Struthio camelus: one gene and its partner. The protein of the gene in region 2 interacts with the protein of the main gene of each other region in a pairwise test. Links are inferred from orthologs where the notes say so. Each region holds a gene or a part of one and is shown on either strand. Other genes may lie near its edges.

Evidence for each region.
Region 1: the proteins of CFAP206 (region 2) and SOX30 interact in binary tests that used the Homo sapiens proteins (3 or more experiments, as listed by UniProt). The two-hybrid records come from large-scale screens. The link is inferred for Struthio camelus from reciprocal best matches to the Homo sapiens genes CFAP206 and SOX30.

What each region holds. Positions count from the first base shown.
Region 1 is NC_090954.1:11,107,981-11,117,143, reverse strand, and holds the start of SOX30 (transcription factor SOX-30), read right to left. Parts: upstream 4,329-9,163; 5' UTR 4,185-4,328; coding exon 3,974-4,184; intron 2,802-3,973; coding exon 2,562-2,801; intron 1,144-2,561; coding exon 964-1,143; intron 1-963. Other genes in the region: THG1L (probable tRNA(His) guanylyltransferase), read left to right, coding at 5,224-5,492, 7,348-7,524, 7,982-8,151, 8,844-8,932. UniProt on the Homo sapiens protein: Acts both as a transcriptional activator and a repressor. Binds to the DNA sequence 5'-ACAAT-3' and shows a preference for guanine residues surrounding this core motif. Binds to its own promoter and activates its own transcription.
Region 2 is NC_090944.1:49,189,934-49,198,909, reverse strand, and holds the start of CFAP206 (cilia- and flagella-associated protein 206), read right to left. Parts: upstream 3,703-8,976; 5' UTR 3,609-3,702; exon of another isoform or gene 3,553-3,608; intron 1,405-3,552; 5' UTR 1,404-1,404; coding exon 1,296-1,403; intron 1-1,295. UniProt on the Homo sapiens protein: Essential for sperm motility and is involved in the regulation of the beating frequency of motile cilia on the epithelial cells of the respiratory tract. Required for the establishment of radial spokes in sperm flagella.

The DNA of each region.
Region 1 (9,163 bases), on a different chromosome or scaffold from region 2:
CCAACAGAGCCAGAGCTCTTTCATCATGACACATGAGAGACTGCAGTCAGCCAATTTATTCTGACTGTGGGCTCTCACGCTACACCTTATTGCACTGCACATATTGACATACTATAAGAAGGAGGGTACTTCCAGGTTACGTGCACCTTTGGAATGTATTTCTCCTGTAACCATGTTATTGTGTATATAAGAGCTGAGCTTTGTGGGCTCAAACTGTGGACACGCACAAGCTGATCAACTACATATAGAACTATGGGCACAAATATTTAAATAACTGTTCGTGAAAAAAAGTGCAAGTGAAAAATTCCTCTTCCAGTTTTACAGACCACTTTAAAATTGTAGCCCACATCCTCCCTACTTAACATCCTCCTTTCTGATGCCTTTGTTGACAACTCTGTCTGCCCTCTCCTGTGAGCAGTCTAAGCTGCCGAGCGTTTGTTCTAAAGCAACGGTGCCCTCACTAGAAAGGCACACCAACACAGGACTGGAGAGGTGCCAGGGCTAAGCTAATAAGCTTCGTCAGGCTTAGTAGTGTGGGTTGAGCAGCAGTTAGATCTGGTGGGGTAAGATATGTCTGTGATGGAGACAGAATAAGAAAGAAAAAACAGAGAGAGAGATAGCTGTAGCTTAATAGGAGGCAAGTACTAAGTAACAGAGACCCCCAAAAGGCAGAAAGATAGCAGGAGGGAACCAGGAGATAGGAAGACAATAGCAGGGGTCTGTAGGAGAGTAAAGAGGTAGCCAGAAGAATTTAAGGGCAGTAAAGGGAGAGAAGGCTGAGGAAGTAGGAGGGAAGAGACTAAGAGCAGTGCAGTGTCGAGGAGGATTGACAGACACAGTGGTGTCCAAAAAGACTGAGAAGCCGTATCTTAACTATATCTACACTACAATGTGTATAACTTTTACTATGATAGGTAGATTCTTAATTTTTAAAATCATTCACTCAGACTACTAAAAACTCACAGACAGGATGTCCAATACTGTTCTGAACATTGGGGATGACAACGGAGTAAGCGGGTGATCGGAAGGGATAAATGGCTGCTGGATTTGTAGTGATGATATTCTGAGAAGTGCCGGAAAATACAGTGGAGACAGTCAATGGAAAACGCTTCCTTTTGCCCGGTCGCGGTTGATAAACCCAACCTGTCAGAGATGAAAAAGATGCAGACTTCTCATTTTTGGGATGATCTCTTTCTTTCTGTAAAGCTAAAATATCTGTAATTCTGAAGTATCTAAAAAAGTATGAGTCCAAAAACTGCTCCAATAGTCAATGGCAAAACTCTCATTCATTTCAGTGGGTGGGCAAAAGGGCATTTTATCAGAGGTGGAGTTAAAACGAGCATGTTTGGGCGTTCTTAGGTTACCAATTCAGTTATGTTACCAGTGTAGTTACCATTCAAAAATGTTTGTGAGACAAAGAACCACAAAACAGTGGGGAGTGAAATGGCACAGCTAAGGAAAGCATGTAAAGGAGAATATGATGCTGTACCATGGAGTTTTGGTCTGGAAAAAACAAACGGCATACAAAATGTGGATCTTCCCTAATTGTTTCCTTATCCCCTTAAACCTCACATATACCTGGAGGTTAAAAGATATGATGAAAAATATGATCCGCTAGAAATCCTGTTTACGCTTTGGCAGTAAGGAGTTCGCTTGCCTTTGAGTTACAACACTAACCAAACACTTAACAGACTTAGAAATATTTTTGGAATTTGGACTGAGCAGCTTGGTTTTCTTGGGCAGGCTAACTCTTATGCTACTTTAAAGAAACCCTTTTTTTTGAAGGGTGAAAAGACAGAAGGAAGATTCTGCTCTTTATCTTATGCTTGTTTATGATGTATTAGTCAGGTCTTGTCTACCTGACAAGACCTGAACTAGCAAATGATTGTGAACTAGCAAATTTATGACATCACAGACAGAAAGGATTATGACACGTGATGTTTCAGTAGCTTCTATAAAGAGTGTTCAAAAAAATTCTGCTCTGTTTTCTTAGCGCCTTTTTAATTGAACTGCAGTGTTACAGAGAAACAAATCTGTTAAGGGAGCAAATCCCTAAACCTTTGACAAAAGGCTGAGACCATGTTCCGCACCTTGACTCGGGAATCCCAATGCCACAAGTTGAAGAGTCCCACAATACACAATGCCATTTGTGCTTCCTGTGGCATTTCCCTCTCCTACTTTTACAGGAGTGGATGCATGTGTCACCACAAGCCACCTGGACAGCTCCTTCTGGAGCCTGCGAAACGTTTTAACAGGCCACGTTCACAATAAACTGTGCATCTGGCCATTAGACTTATAAAGCATTGAGAAGAGCTACTATACATGTGGTAGTCTAAGAACGTAAGGAATTCAGAGGCTACGGAGAATGAAACATCATTTATGGATAACTATAAAAAAAATGAATATGCTTTCAGGTACTAGGAATCTGACAAAAGGACCAAATACTTGAAAGTCTACCATTTCTTCCAACTCTAATATTTGCTCTAATGAAAGAGATCTTTTTTTTTTCCCCCATAAATCTTGCCCTTCTAAAGGATTTGGGTAAATAAATATATGTTTACCAGGAAATTCTTCTCTGTGCTTTTCTTTTATTTTCTGAGCTTCGTCATAATAGGGCTTCTTCTGCTCTTCAGTCAGCTTGTTCCACTCCAGTCCAAGCTGAACACTGATTTCTGCATTATTGGCAGTTGGGTTAGCTTTGGCTAGAGCTGGCCGATGAATCCTAGCCCATACCATGAATGCGTTCATTGGACGCTTTACATGGCCACTTTTGTCCTTGCTAAATGGAGTATCTGGTATCCCTATGCAACAAAATGAGGAAAGAAGATCATCTGCCAGGCAATATACACAATATAGGTTACGTTCAATAGTATTTCCAGAAGGTATTTAGCAATATTCAGAAGAATCATCAGAGCTTCAGAACACACAAAACTCAATGCACATTTGGAGAACAGTTCTTAGAAAAATAACTAAGGCTAACAGCATCACTGACTAGCCTCCACTGAAATACTACATAAGGAATTGTTTACGTGACTTTTGTCACATAGCCTTTCTTTTCTGTATGAAACAGAAATGACTGTTAAAAACACACTGGTTTGGATTTCATTTGGCTAGACTGCTTTCTATAATACCTGTGTATTTATAAATTAAACATAATATAGCATAGACCGTATCACTGCAAATTCATGATCACCACCCCAACTATGCATCCAAACCCTAATGATTCAAGGACCAGATCTGATGATGGGATGGCAGTTTAGTCCCACATATTTGCAACTTCTCTGAGGTTGTTGCTGCTGTTTTTTTTTTTCTCCCTCTTTTTTCCCCTCTTTTCTCAGATTTAGATGCCCATTTGCTAGAGGAACCTGTTTCATCAGATGACTGTTACAAGACTCCCAGCTTTAGGTCCTTAGAACCAAAGACTGTATTTGAATTGAGCTGGTGAAATAAACCGCATACCTTTCACAATTGAACTTTAAGAAAGCAGCTTCCTCTATGAGAAAAAAACTTAGAACAGAACTCTTCTACGTGGTCAATAAAGGGCAAGTTTATTAGGCTTTAGGACTTCAAGTTAATTTTAAAAGCCTATGTTTCTCTCTAAAAAAAAAAAAAAAAACTAATCCAGATATTTAAGTGTTCCTCACTTAACGTCTTCGAATTTTCTCAGTGAGAGGTGTTTGAATGCTCATAGATTGAAAAATCAAGCAGATACCTAAACTGAACTTGAAACCACTATTCACTGCAATTCTGTTTAAAATAGACGGAGAGCAAGCAGACAAAACTGTATTGATTTTAGTGAACCACTAGAGAACTTTGTGCTGCTGTATGTTTACACCTTTAGCTGAACAAAAGAGTTGTACAAACAACAGTGTATCCACTATTTTAACTTGTGTTCTCCAACCTGAAAAAACCTGCCAACTGTGTGCCACTTACTGAAACCTTGCAAACTCTAAGCTGTCTTACAATGTAATACCTGCATCGGAGGGCAGCACTGTGAGGGGCACGTTTTTAGTTTCAATTTTTACTGACGGCTCCAGTAAAGACTGCATTTTTAGAGGCACTTGGGTCACTGGCACTTTAGCCACATGGATCAGCTGGGAAGGCGGAGGGCCTTGAAGCTGAATTCTGGTCGCAGAAGGCAAGGGGTGCAGCATCAGCGGGACCGTCAGATCCGCAGGGTGCATGGCGAAGGCTCCGGCCGGCGGAGCCAGGCTGCCATCGCTGCTGGGCTGGGCGACCCCGCTCTGGGGTCCCGCTGCCTCGGCCTCGGCCTCCTCTTCCTCCAGGCCGCCGGCCCCGGGGGCCGCCTCGGCTGGCTCCACCTTGACGGCACCTGCTGGCCCAAGCCCCGGCACCGTCCCATTGCCCCTGTCCTCGGGCACCTTCAGCTCTTTGGGGCCTTCCCGGTCCCCTCCCGCCGCGATGGCGTCTGGGGCCTCCTGCCCGCATCCCCACAGGGCTGCGAGGCACCTCGGCTCGCCCCTCTTCCTGCCGCCGCAGGCCGCCTCCTCCGGCTCGGGCTCCTCCACTTTGATGTGCAGCACCTGGAGGGGCCCCTCGGCCGCCGCCGCCGCTGCCGCCGCCGCCTCCGGCTGCCGCGGCGGCTCCCGGCGGGGCCCGGCGCGGAGCGGAGGCGGCGGCGGCGGCGGCGGGCGGGCGGCGCCGAAGCAGGCGGGCGGCAGGGGGCGCTGGCGGCACTGAGGGCGGGCCGCGCCGCCCGCCGCCCCCCGCTCCATGGCCATGACGCCGCGGCCGTTTGCCGCTTGCGGTTGGTGCGCAAACGCTCGCAACGCCCTCCCGCCCCCGCCGCCCGCCAATGGCCGCGCGCCGCCCGCCCCGAGCGCACCAATGGCCGCGCGCGCCGCTTCTCCCCCCTCCCCCCGCCGCCCGCCTCACAATGCGGTCGCCGTGGAGACCGTTGGCGGCGCCGCCGGGTGCTTCTCCCCTAAGGCCGCTCCCTCCGGGCTCGCTGAGGCGCCGGGCGCTTCGCCGCGCCCCCCACCCCAAATTGGGGGTCGCCTCGGCCCCGCTCCCCTCGGCCATCCCTTCCCCGCTACCGGCACGGCAGCCCCGGGACAGCGGAGGGTTGCGAGCCCCTCCTGCCTACACCCTCCCCGTCAACACCGCGCGTGGCCGGCGCGGAGACCTGGCGGCCCCCGGTCCTCGCGGCACCGAGCCCCGCCTCGGCACAGCGGCCCCACGGGCTGGGGGAGCCTCGAAGCCATGGAGAGGTCCGCCTCGCGGCCCAGAAGGGCTCCTTGCTGCGTCCTCGGAGGGGGGGCCACTTCCGCTTCCGTTCCGGCCATGCTACGGAGCTGGCGGGCCGCAGCGGCCATCTGTACTGCGGGCGGGAGGTGCGTGAGGTGGCTGTGCGGCCGCCGCCTCCCCATGGCGAAGAGCAAGTTCGAGTACGTGCGGGACTTCGAGACGGACGACACATGCCTGCCCAACTGCTGGATAGTGGTCCGGCTAGACGGCCGCAACTTCCACCGGTAGGGGCTGGGCAGGCAGCCAATGGCCGCGCTGTTTGTAGCAGCGCGGTTGCCATGGCGACGCCTCGACCAACGGGCGGGGAGGAGAAGGGGTCTAGGGTGCGTATTGGGGCGGGGAGGGGGGAAGGTTCCTCCTAATGGGCCCGGGAGGTGGGGACACGGCGCCGAGATGCTGGGCCCCGGGGTTGGGCGGGCTCCCCGGCGTGCTGCCGTGGTGTGGGGGGTGCTGGGCCCCAGGGCGCGGTGCAGAGCGGGGTGCTGTGTGCCGAGGTTAGCCTGGCAGCCTGGGGCTGAAGGCAGTGCGCAGAAGGGTGCTGGGCCCCAGGGTGCGGTGCAGAGCGGGGTGCTGTGTGCCGAGGTTAGCCTGGCAGCCTGGGGCTGGAGGCAGTGCGCAGAAGGGTGCTGGGCCCCAGGGCGCAGTGCAGAGCGAGGTGTTGGCTCCAGGGCCAAGAACATGGATTCTCGACATCTTGACTGATATCATGTGACTGGCTATGGGTTCCTGAAGCGTGGCTTCCCTGCTTGAGCTGTGTGAATTCAGTAGGGGCAGTGGTTAGTCCTCAGAAATCCTTTCACCCTCTTCAGAGTGTCTCCTTACTACTGAATTAGGAAGAGTGTTGCTAGCAGGTCAAGGCAGGTGATCCTCCGCCTCTACTCAGCCCTGGTGAGGCCACATCTGGAGTACTGTGCTCACTTCTGGGCTCCCTAGTGCAGGAGAGACATAACGCTACTGGAGAGAGTCCAGTGGAGGGCTGCAAAGATGATGAAGGGACTGGAGCATCTCTCCTCTGAAGAAAGGCTGAGAGAGCTGGGCCTGTTCAGCCTGGAGAAGAGAAGACTGAGGGAGGATCTCATCAATGTAAACAAATATTTAAAGCGAAGGTAACAAGAGGATGGGGCCAGCCTCTTCTCCGTGGTGCCCAGCAACAGGACAAGAGGCAACGGGCGCAAACTGAAACACAGGAAGTTCCATCTGAACATGAGGAGAAACTTCTTTCCTGTGAGGGTGACTGAGCACTGGAACAGGTTGCCCAGAGAGGCTGTGGAGTCTCCTTCTTTGGAGATATTCAAAAGCCGCCTGGATGCGATCCTGTGCAATGTGCTCTAGATGACCTTGCTTGAGCAAGGGGTTGGACTAGATGATCTCCAGAAGTCCCTTCCAACCTTGGTCATTCTGTGATTCTGTGAGACTGGTATTTGTCTTTCTGGGCCATATACAGCTTAAGAAGTGTGGCATCTATGGGACGATAGGGTATAACAGAAATAGTATAACAGTGGCTTGGATGGGTTGTGGGAAGGACTGCAACTGGTAAACAGGAGTATTTATTTGTGTGTGGAAATGATCTCTGTGAGATTCAGCTTTCTTCAGGATCAATGGGTCATGGTTCTCTTGAGTGGCGGATGGGCCATATTCTTGCTGGGGTTTTGATCTCTGAAAGTTGTTCTTCCAGATGGTGGTTTGGTGAAGTCTGGTTCTGGTAAAGCTCTTGAGTTTTGACAATTGACTAAATGTTGCCTTTGTTGGACAGAGTATAAGAGGCACCCTGGTGCAAAGTGAGGTTACAGAAAATGTTATTTGTTATCTTCTTATTCCAAGTAAAATAGGGAAAGCAGTTGTTTTGAAAGACTATTATATAGTTAGGATAAGATACTGATGGGAAAGAGAATGGGTTATCTGGGATATATAACCACGGTTTATTGTTACTGTTGTTCATACCTGGAGGGAATTCTCTGTCAGTATTGACAGGATACTGGAAGTCAATATTCATAGAAAGTAAATGTGATGAAAATTAATGGGTTAGCATTTTTGAGTAGCTTTTTAAAGGATTCTTGTTCAACCATTTTTGCTTTGAAGGTTTGCTGAGCAACATGAGTTCAAAAAGCCAAATGATGACCGTGCTCTTCATCTGATGACCAAGTGTGCCCAGACAGTGATGCAAGAACTGGAAGATATTGCTATCGCTTATGGACAAAGCGATGAATACAGTTTTGTTTTCAAAAAGAACAGTAGATGGTTTAAAAGAAGAGCAAGGTATCAGCTGCTTTGATACCAAGAAGTGTATTCACTTTTAATACTTCTCTCTAAATTTGGAATTTGTTGATTTTCCTTAGATTTGCTTTCATCTATATGTATAGGTTCTGTATAGGACTGTATTTGGGTGTATCCACTGTAAACTAGCTCTCAGGTTCTTCATGTGAACTCTTTGCGTGTGATCTCCCTAGAATATATGTTCAGTGATAAAGGATTTTTTAAAAGTTTTGATTAAACACAACTTCTTTTAACAAAATGATTCCCCTTCCAAACTCTTATGTGATTCTCAGTACTTCTTAGTCTTCAAAAGACTCTATGCTATTGCTGATCTGTGCACCGTTATTTAAGAAATTCTGCCCCCCCCCAAATTATTGTTATTGATAGCCCAGATAATCACCAATATGTATAATCACATTGATATATTGCTTTCTTTTTCTGTTTGCTTTGTGTTTGCAAGTAAGTTCATGACTCACGTGGTCTCCCAGTTTGCCTCAAGTTACGTTTTCTATTGGAAGGATTACTTTAAGGATCAGCAACTTCTGTATCCACCAGGTTTTGATGGACGAATTGTGTTGTATCCCAGCAACCAAAACTTAAAGGACTACCTCAGTTGGAGACAAGCAGATTGTAAGCATTTTTTTAAAAAAAGTAGATTTACACAGTTGAGTTCTTCTTTCTGAATACGAATGCCCTTACTGCAAGTGTATGCATGTATGTTACCAGTGAAAGAACATCAGGTAGGGGAAGGCATAGTTTTAAATAAACTGTTAAAATTGTGCTAGGATTTGTGTGGAAGCAAAAATGAAGGCTAAAGTTCTGAGACCTCAGATTATATTCATTACACGCTGGGAGTGAATTTGGTACTGGAAATACTAGAATTATTAATAGAATTCATTTGTTGTTGTTGTGTTTATTTAACCAATATTATCCTCTTTAACCGAGAGATGTGACTGTTTGAATTAAACTTCACCATGTAGCAAAATCATAGCAGTCAAGAGCACTGTATATTCCATGCTGTTGGGCTTCATTTCTAGACTTCCGTTAGTAGCTAGTCCTTGTTGGTCAATTATTCATAAACACCCTTCTCTCTCTGTTCTCCCTTTCCCACTTGTGAAGTATCATGACAGCAATCTTCTGGTGGTTCTTATGATATACAGTACCTTAAAAATGGATCAGAAAGATATAGCTTCTGCAGATACTGATATTATTAATGACCATTTATTACTGAGTATTTCCTGTACGTGACTCTGGCAATGAAGTTGCTTTTTTCTGAGTAGTCGCTCAGATTTGGTAAATGCTCTTTCCTTCTTTTTCTGTAGGCCATATTAATAACCTTTACAATACAGTGTTTTGGATGCTTGTACAACGAAGTGGTTTGACACCAGTACAAGCACAGGATAGACTTCAGGTAAGACTCTTTTGAGGTCGTGTTGTTCTAGGTACAAACCAAATCACATCATTTGCTAAGCCACGTCTTGCCTACCCAGCAGCCCTGGCCGTCTTTTCTATTCTTACTGTAATAATTTCATTGATGTACGTTCAGCAGCTTCCTCTTGAATTGTACAGATGTTAATATGATTAGCGTGTGGCATTTTAGCTAGAGTGTTACTTGGTTTTTCATTTCATAATTATTGAATTC
Region 2 (8,976 bases):
ACTGCATTTCATCTGTTGCCAGATTTCAAATTTTCCACTCTGACATAAGTGGAAAGAAAACCTAACTACTTGGGATGCAAACACTGCAGAGAAATATTTAAATATAGCTCCTTTACAAGTTTCCTGGAAAAATGTTTTTCTAAGTAAAATTTTATAAAAATCAGTCATGCTTGTTTACACACTTCCAGGTTGGTATTGTATGCACCACTACACATGCACATTTAAAAAAATACTATTTAGATAAAAATTTCATAGTGTTTTTGCATATAAGGAAATATTTGCATGCTTGGAGGTATTTTGCCAGCCACATGAGAAAGTTTTTCACTCGTAGCATTTTTCATGCTTAATTAATACTACTTCTGAGCCCAGCATATTTTCTAAAGCCAGACTATCTTCTTCATCTAGGAAAAAAAAAGACAGACTAACAATACTGCTGTGAACCATTTACGCTCCTATAAAAGCTTATCAAGAGCTTATCAATTGCGTTCTTAAGACATCCCTAAAGAAAGAAGCTCCATCTTTCTACACAAAAAGTTTGTGGATGTATTTAGACTATATTCTGCAACGCTCTGCAAAGTGTTTCATAAGAACAGATGCCAAAGGGTATAAAGTTTTTAGCATTCATACAGTTGTCTTCCAAGGATAACAATGAGATTGTTTCCTTTTCAAAAAAAAACAAAAATGGTTTATCAGCCTACAGAAGAAAAATGAGAGAGAACTCTCATTCTGAGTTTAAAGAATTGCAAAGACTCATGACTGACAGTCTTTCCAGGGCCTTACAGTCACATACAAAGCATTTCAGAGGAATGAGATGCTTTCTTAGGTTTTTAGGACCCCATACTGAATATCAATGAATGACCCTTTAAAACTTCTCAACTTGGGCAATCAGAAAGTGAGATATTTCAAAATTTAAATCACTCCTGAAAGTCTCAGCTGTAGCTATCCCAGCTTTGGCACTGTGACAGGAACTTGACATTTGAAGTTTATTGATTTTTAACACCAAAGGAATGATTTATGTCCTTGCTTCACAGCATTCATTCTGAACAGTCTCACTGACTTCAAGGGGAACTATTCATACTGTGTAAAATTAAGTCTTTACACCATGAAAGCCTTAGAAACAGGTTTGGACCGCCAAGCTAGAAGCACCCAGGTTTGAAAATTCTGATCCACATGCTCCATTATTAGAATATATTTATTTGTTAATATTTTATTGACCATAAGAAAATATGAGCATTACTGGAAAAAAAATCAGATGAAATAACAAAAAATAAATAAAACATTTAATTTATTCTTACCATGAAAGCTACCAAGGTTTCAGAAACAGTTTGTCCTTTGCTGGCACATTCTTGTCCTATTTCACGAATGATTTTCTTTATGACATTTTCAGTTTGATGGCAAGACATCCTGAATAAACAACACAATGATAGGCTAGAGATTTATCATCATATATTTTAGATTTGTCTTTCAGTCTTCCTTTTCCCCACTGTAATATTTACTACCAGCGGCGACAGTACGTAATTTCTGCAAAGCCTCTCAGGCTTTCCTGTTTTCAGAAACCACTCCGCTAAAGGTGGCAGAGATGATTTATGGCTGGACGGACCACAGCTGACATGAGTATTTCCAAGTAATAAGAACTTAATGCAAAACAAGATCAACAAGAAGAAAAATGGAAGCTGATTATAAAAATATTGCTCCAGGTAGTCATTGTTTGACATATGGAGTATTTCTCACAAAGTGATTAAGACTCAGCAACTGACAAGAGGGGAATGGAAAAAACGGACAGCTCTGTAGGAATAAAATGCTATTTCCAAACGCAACTGAAAGCCAGTGTGAAGTTTTCACTCCTACATGACACAGGCATTGACAAGGATCACAAAATAACAGAATATTATCTGTTATTATATGTTATAATCTGTTTATATTATATAACAGAAGAGACCTCTGTAGACAGTTTAATCCAGAACCCCTGCTCAAGCAGGACAACATAGAGCAGGTTGCCCAGGGCCGTGTCCAGTTGGGTTTTGAATATCTCCAAGCATGGAGACTCCACAGCCTCTCTGGGCAACCTGTTCCATCCAGTATTTGACCACCCTCACAGTAAACAGGTGTCTTCTTAGGTTCAGATGAAATTTCCTTTGTTTAATTTGTGCCCAAACTCTCTTGTTCTGTTACTAGGCACCACTGAGAGGAGTCTGGCTCCATCCTTTTTACATACAGAATCGTTTAGGTTGGAAGGGACCTCTGGAGATCATCTACTCCAACCTCCCTGCTCAAGCAGGGTCACCTAGAGCATATTGCCCAGGATCACATCCAGACGGGTTTTGAAGATCTCCAGCGAAGGAGACTCCACTACCTCTCTGGGCAACCTGGTCCAATGCTCTGTCACCCTCACAGTGAAGAAGTTTTTCCTCAGGTTCAGAGGGAACTTCCTGTGGTTCAGTTTGTGCCCGTTGCCTCTTGTCCTGTTGCTGGGCACCACGGAGAAGAGATTGGCCTCATCCTCTTGACACTCCCCCTTCAGATCTTCCCATCAGATATTTATACATATTGATCTGATCCCCCCGAGCCTCCTCTTCTCCAAGCTCAACAGGCCCAGCTCTCTCAGCCTCTTGTTTATACGAAAGATGCTCCAGTCCCTTAAACATCTTTGTGGCTCTTCGCTGGTCTTGCTCCAGTATGTCCATGCTCTCTTCTACTGGGGAGCCTAGCAATGGACCCAGCACTCCAGGTGTGGCCTCACCAGTGCTGAGTAGAGGAGAGAGATCACCCCCCTTGACCTGCTGGCAACACTCTGCCTAACACAGCCCAGGAGGCTGTTGGCTTTGTGTGCTGCGAGGGCATGTTGCTGGCTCACGGTCAACTGGGTGTCCACCAGGCTCTTCTCTGCAGAGCTGTTTCCCAGACTGTCAGCCCCCAGCTGACAGGTCGGGGGGGGGGGGTTGGGGTTTGTTCCTCCTCAGGGGCAGGATTTGGCACTGCCCCTTCTTGAGCTCCATGAGGTTCCTCCGTGCGCATCTCTCCAGCATGGAGGGCCCTCTGAACGGCAGCACAGCCCTCAGGCGTATCATCGGCAAACCTGAGGGTGCGTTCAGTCCCACCACCCAGGTCATGAACGAAGTTAAACAGTAGGTAGCCAAGCAGGAGAGCTCTCCCTGTAATGCTGCCCTGTAGGCGCCTCCTGAATTTCACATGTACGCCTGGGGCGAACCCGCTGCAGCCCTGCGGCCTTGATTACGATGCCCCTTCCGCTCCCACCACCCCGGGCGCCCTTTGCTTGCCCAGCCTCCCGCACCGCCGCTTCCAGGCCGGGCTGCCCGCCATGCTGCTCCCCGCCCCCCCCGCCCCGGCCCTGCTTGAAGGCTCCGAGGAGAACGCGGCACAGCCGTCAGCGGCCCGCATCCAGACGCCTGCTGGCAGACGAGGCGTTCCTCCCTTTAATACTTCGGATTGCAAACGGCAAAAGGCGTTGCTGCCGGCGGGGACCAAGCAGGGCCTGGCCTCTCCCCGCTCCCTGCCGCGCTGCTGGCCGCCATGGCCGCGCCCCGCACTCACCTGCCGCCGCGCCCGGCCCGGCCGCCGGCGGCAGCGGCCGTTCGTTGCCATGGCACCCCCCCCCCCCCGGCACCGGCGGCGGCAGCGGCCGTTCGTTGCCATGGCACCGCCCCGCCCCCGCACCGGCGGCGGCAGCGGCAGCGGCTGTTCGTTGCCATGGCACCCCCCCCGGCACCGGCGGCGGCAGCGGCCGTTCGTTGCCATGGCACCGCCCCGCCCCCGCACCGGCGGCGGCAGCGGCTGTTCGTTGCCATGGCACCGCCCCTCCCCCCCCGCACCGGCGGCGGGCCGGGGCGGGCCGGTGTCGTACGCGCGCGCCCGCGCGCTTGCAGCGGGACGGGTGGCTGCATCTGCGCGCAGGCGTGCGTGTGCCTGTGTGTTTGTGTACATATATATATCTCTATATTTTTTTTTCCCATGGGCGCGTGTGTGTATATCTATATCTATTTGGACGCTTGGGCATATTACAGAACATATGTGCGTACGCAGAACCGATATGCAGGAGTGCGTATGCGCACCTCTGTGCGTGTGGCCGTGTGCATGCAACGTATAAGCTCTGTGCAGGTAAATATATACGTGTCTGCTGCGCCTAAGTGCACGCATGGGCAAGACGTAAGTGCATATGTAGATGTGTGCATGTAACTGCTGATGTAGAGGTATAGGTGTATAGGCACAAATATACATAAACGTACCTGTATATACAAAATGTGTGTGCATATATATATATACACACAAAACACTCTCTCTCTCTGTGTATATACAACACATATATACATATTTTCCAAGAGAGATTGTGAGTGTAACAGGAGACAAGAAGAGTGTCAGGCATAGATTTGTGATTTATTTTTATATATATATTTTTTGTATATGCATACAAACACATGCATATGTATTTCTGTATACATATATACATGTGCGTCTCTGTGTGCACGTACATACAATACACGCACCCATGTATATACACAAAACATGTCTCTTTCAAAAGTGATTGTGAGGGAAGGAGACAGCAGAAAGAGTGGCAGGCACAGCTTTGTAATCCATTGCATAAACATATATACGTGCGCATACATACAATGCATAGATGTGCACATCTATGCAAAGCGTGTAGTTATGTGTGTGTGTGTTGGTATATACAAATATATATATGTATATATGCATATGCAGACATGCACGCACACCCACACACGCACACACATCCATCTATGGCAGAGAGCGAGCGCTGGCGGCCGCGAGCAGCGCTGCCGACGCTGCCGTCGGGGGGATGCGCGGCCGGCCGGGCGCCGGCTGCACCTCTGCAAGGCCTTCCTCTCGCTAGCTCCGTCCGTCGCTGCCCGCTCAGTTTGAGCTGTTCCAGGGCAGAGGGAAGAAAAAGTAATAACAGCTTGGTTAGATTCAAAAGCCACGTCCCCAGAAGGTAATGGCGTAACCTCTACTGGTAGGTGGAACGCAGGATTAGGAGCTGACGATAGACATCAGTTTTCAGCGGCCTGAATTTGTCCGCCTCGGTTTAAAGGCCCAGACACGCAGCAACCCGCTTACAGTTGCCATGAGAGGAAACAATGACCTTTTTCCTGCCTGACCTCGGGCAAGCCGCCGGTTCTTACCAGCAGAATGACGACCATATTTTGCTCTCGGACGACTAATGGCAGGATTACATACCTGTTGGCAGCGTCTGTAATGTGGACAGTGCAATGAGTCCCAGCAGCGGCTGTGGGAAAGTTGACGGGGCGAAACAAGCCCACAGAGGTAGTGCCAGCTCTTAGGTTTAGCTCTCGTAGCCCAGTTACTGGGTCTTCTGCAGTTTCACAGCCGTGGAGAGCCGGCTCCCGACCCGCAAAGGTCAGAGGCTGTGGCTAACGCGTCCGCATGTTCACACAGACGCTTTTCAGGGAGAGCAGGAAGCCCCAGTTAGGGTATTTCGCGTGTATGCAGGGCCCTTATCGCTGTGCAGCTGTGGCTGGCCAACGCAAGGACTACCCTTTGAGTCGCTTCACTTTCCTTCTGGTATCTTACGGCTGTGTCCACGTTTGCAAGCGGCGCAACCTCCGCGGGGCGAAGCGGCTGGGGCTGAGGACCGGGCGCCCGCTCCCTACGCGCCTCAGGGGGTCGTAACTTCAGACCAGCTTTCATCCAAGCCCAGGGACTGAACGTCTTTTTGTGGCCGGAGCGCGTTTGGCGCAGGCTAGAGCACACCTTCGAGTTCAGTTTCACCCGAAAGAAATCCAGTTCACGTGCTCAGCGGCTGCTCCGCAGTACACATCAAAGCACAGGCCAAGGACTATCAAGAGATTTTTCCCTGTAAACACAGTCCTGATCCAAAATAAAACACGTGCGCATCCCCAGACACTCACGCTCCTTTAGAGTTAGCGGCATTCACGATCATCGCTTTGCTTGGCTGTGAAATTTCCTGGAGGCATAGCGAGATATAGGAACATCTTACTGCAGCTGAAATAGCTGACATCCTCTGATAAACTCAGTGTTGCTGTTGTCTCAATAGGACATCTGCAATCCAAAGAGCGCTTCATTCGGAAGACAAAACACTGGGAATAAGTATTATGAGTGACTCTATCGCAATGCTACTGCATTCCTTTTGCAGGAGTTTAAAAGGCCACACTCATTTTTCACAGGCGTGCTGAAAGCAGACTACATATTCTTACTCGCAGAGTATGAGCATTGTTACAGATGTTTCATTCTTCTCCTCTGCTACTCCCAACCATTTCCAGTTCACTAAAAAAAAGTTGATTTATCTTTTTTTTTTTTTTTAATAAAAAGCTAATCGTCTGTATGTAAATCATGGAATCGTAGACTCGCTCTGGTTGGAAGGAGCATAGCAGGCCGTCTCTTTAGCCAAGCAGCGTACTCAGCTTTGACGTTTTAGCCGTCCTGACCTTATCTGGGACTTCGGCAAAGCCAGCAACAGAGCCAGCTCACACCCAGAAATCCCAGTAAGACATCCAGCTTCCCACGCACTTTTAGGCTGCGGGTTGGAAGAAAGAAAGCCAGAGCGATGTGTTTGCAGCTTAGCTTGCTGACGATTTAAGTTCTGACGTTGTTCGAAGCGTTGTGGTAGTACTAAGCAGTATTTCAGATGGTACTAGAACTGAAAAGGTACAAACTGTCAGCAGTTTTCTTCCTCCAAAAAAAATCAAATAAACCCCTAAGACCAAAGAAAACAGTGGTTTCAGGGGGAGGGGAGGTTTGCAGGCTATATTAGACCACAAAAATTCATTTAACTTTTTGGTAAGCTACTGAGGTCTTTAGGTTGCAGAACACTGTTTCATAAGCAAAACACCTGGATTTCTCCCCTACAGTTAGTGTTAACTTTTGATTTCAAGCACAGCTTCTGGGAATGGAGGCAGAGTTTATCTAGTGTTCCAGTAACAAGAAATAAAGACCCCTCTTTCCCTTTCCTCAAAAATCCTCAAAATACAGCTTCATAACGTCTGTGCCGTACTAACTTAAAATATAGATAAAATCCTCCCCCTAGTGGTGTGTCTGAGGCATTTACTCCTAATGAAGCTGACAGTGACACACAGTGAAAAGATTCTTGGGTTTGCGATAATTAACAATTTTAAAAGTCAGTTTGGCCTCACTAAAAAGAGCACAGTAGCTTTTAAATTACTATAAAGGTTGACGCCACAGTCCTCTGTTCCAGGAAAAGCACGTCGCCTATTTAACAAGCCTACATTACCCTGGCTATCCCGTTTGGAGGGTCACCTCTTTCTCCAAGCGTATCCAGAAGACGGCATTTACTTGCTATCGCTGTTCGGGACTGAACACATCCCCTCGTTTTGCCAGTCGCGGGACGCAGTTACAGCTAGGTTTTTCTTGCACCCCGGCGCTGGCGGGGAAACTAGCCCCAACCAGCAGCGGTAGGGGCCTGGCCTGAGCACTGGGCAGTCCCATCAGGCAGATGGAGAGTTTGTGCCCCAAAACACACCAGCGCCAGGAAGACGAGGGGCGTCGCGTTACGCAGCTTGACGCACAGCGCACCCACCGGAGAGGCTCGGACACGGTAGGGTCCGTTCAAGCTCCCTTGATCCAGTCACAAGCACAGAGCGATCCTGCAATGACTAATCCTTTGGTTATTCATCGCTCACCTAAAAGAGGCACTTATGAAGTTGATCTTACGGCTCAGTTAGCTCCTTCCTGTGTTCAGGCCCTCTCCGAACGGGCAGTGAGCTGGAAAGCAGGCGCCAACCCTCTGCCCGGAAGGTCTCCTGCCATCAGGAATAATGTTTGGCAAGGCGCCCGTTCAACCTCCTTGAAGGTTTACGTAAATGCGGGTGTCCACAAGAGGCAATGCATGACCCAAACAGAAGTTTAGGTACTATCCCTTTCTCCATCTCTGAAGTTAGATGGTGAGCTGTGCCATGCCGGCAGTTGGCAGCACTTCAGGGTACTGAGACGACCCTGTACCGCGGTACGGAAGCTAATGTAAGCTTGGTGAGACTTGGTTCTCCCAAAGCAGTGGTGCGAGGACAGCCTGTAGTCCCACAAGAATGAAAAGTCTGTCTCTTAAGAGAGAAATACGCTCTGTACAGCTGGCTGTTACTGCTTGCAAAAGTGAGTCATGCTGAAATCTCGCACTCAGAAATTGGGAAGGCAGAAGTGTCATGTCATCTTCAGTTCATCTAAGTCTGTTAGTGGCACAATAAAGCCGATTTTTGAAGCTGAGGACGTTTTTGGTGGCCTCCTGTGGAAGAATTGCTATTCTTTCTTCCCCTCAAGCTTGTACATCGGCCATCAGAGGCCTCTGTGCACGGCGCTGCTGTTGCTCAGGGCACCAAGCGGTGCTGGCAGAGAGTGCCAACCTGCTCGGTGTTAAGGACACATGCATAAAAGAGCGGACAGCACTGCTGAAGTCTGCGGGACTCTCCTGAACGGCCGTGGTGGTACAGAGTCATCTCAGGCCCACTGAGGCAAAGTATACGCTATCGCACATACGGGAATCTCAGATGACACCTGCAGCAATTATCTGAGGTATCATTAAGGGTTTGAGCCTCCCTATTACAATATTGTCAAGGAATGTTAGACTGCTCGTGTTTTTTTCTTTCAGCTCCATCGTTTTGCCACACTAAAGAAGAGATGTCTGGGTATGCGAGCACTGTGTCTCCCCCAGTTCTCACTATATCAAACTTTCACTGCAAGCATGTGGAGCATATGACCAAAGCAAGGAGCTTCGGCTTGCTCTCCCACACCGTGCAGGGTACTCTGGTCGGGAAAGCTGACAGTTGTCCCCGGGATGAAAGTGTCTCCATGGCAGCAAGATTTTGCTGATCAAAGAACTCCAGTTTGGCTTTGTACTTAGCAATCAAAAAATCCTCCCAGACTTCGTTCACAGATAGCACAGCACAGCAGGCCTACCTGAATTTGACCATTTCTGGAAAAAAAGGGTGATGTAGAGTACCCAGTTAACAAACG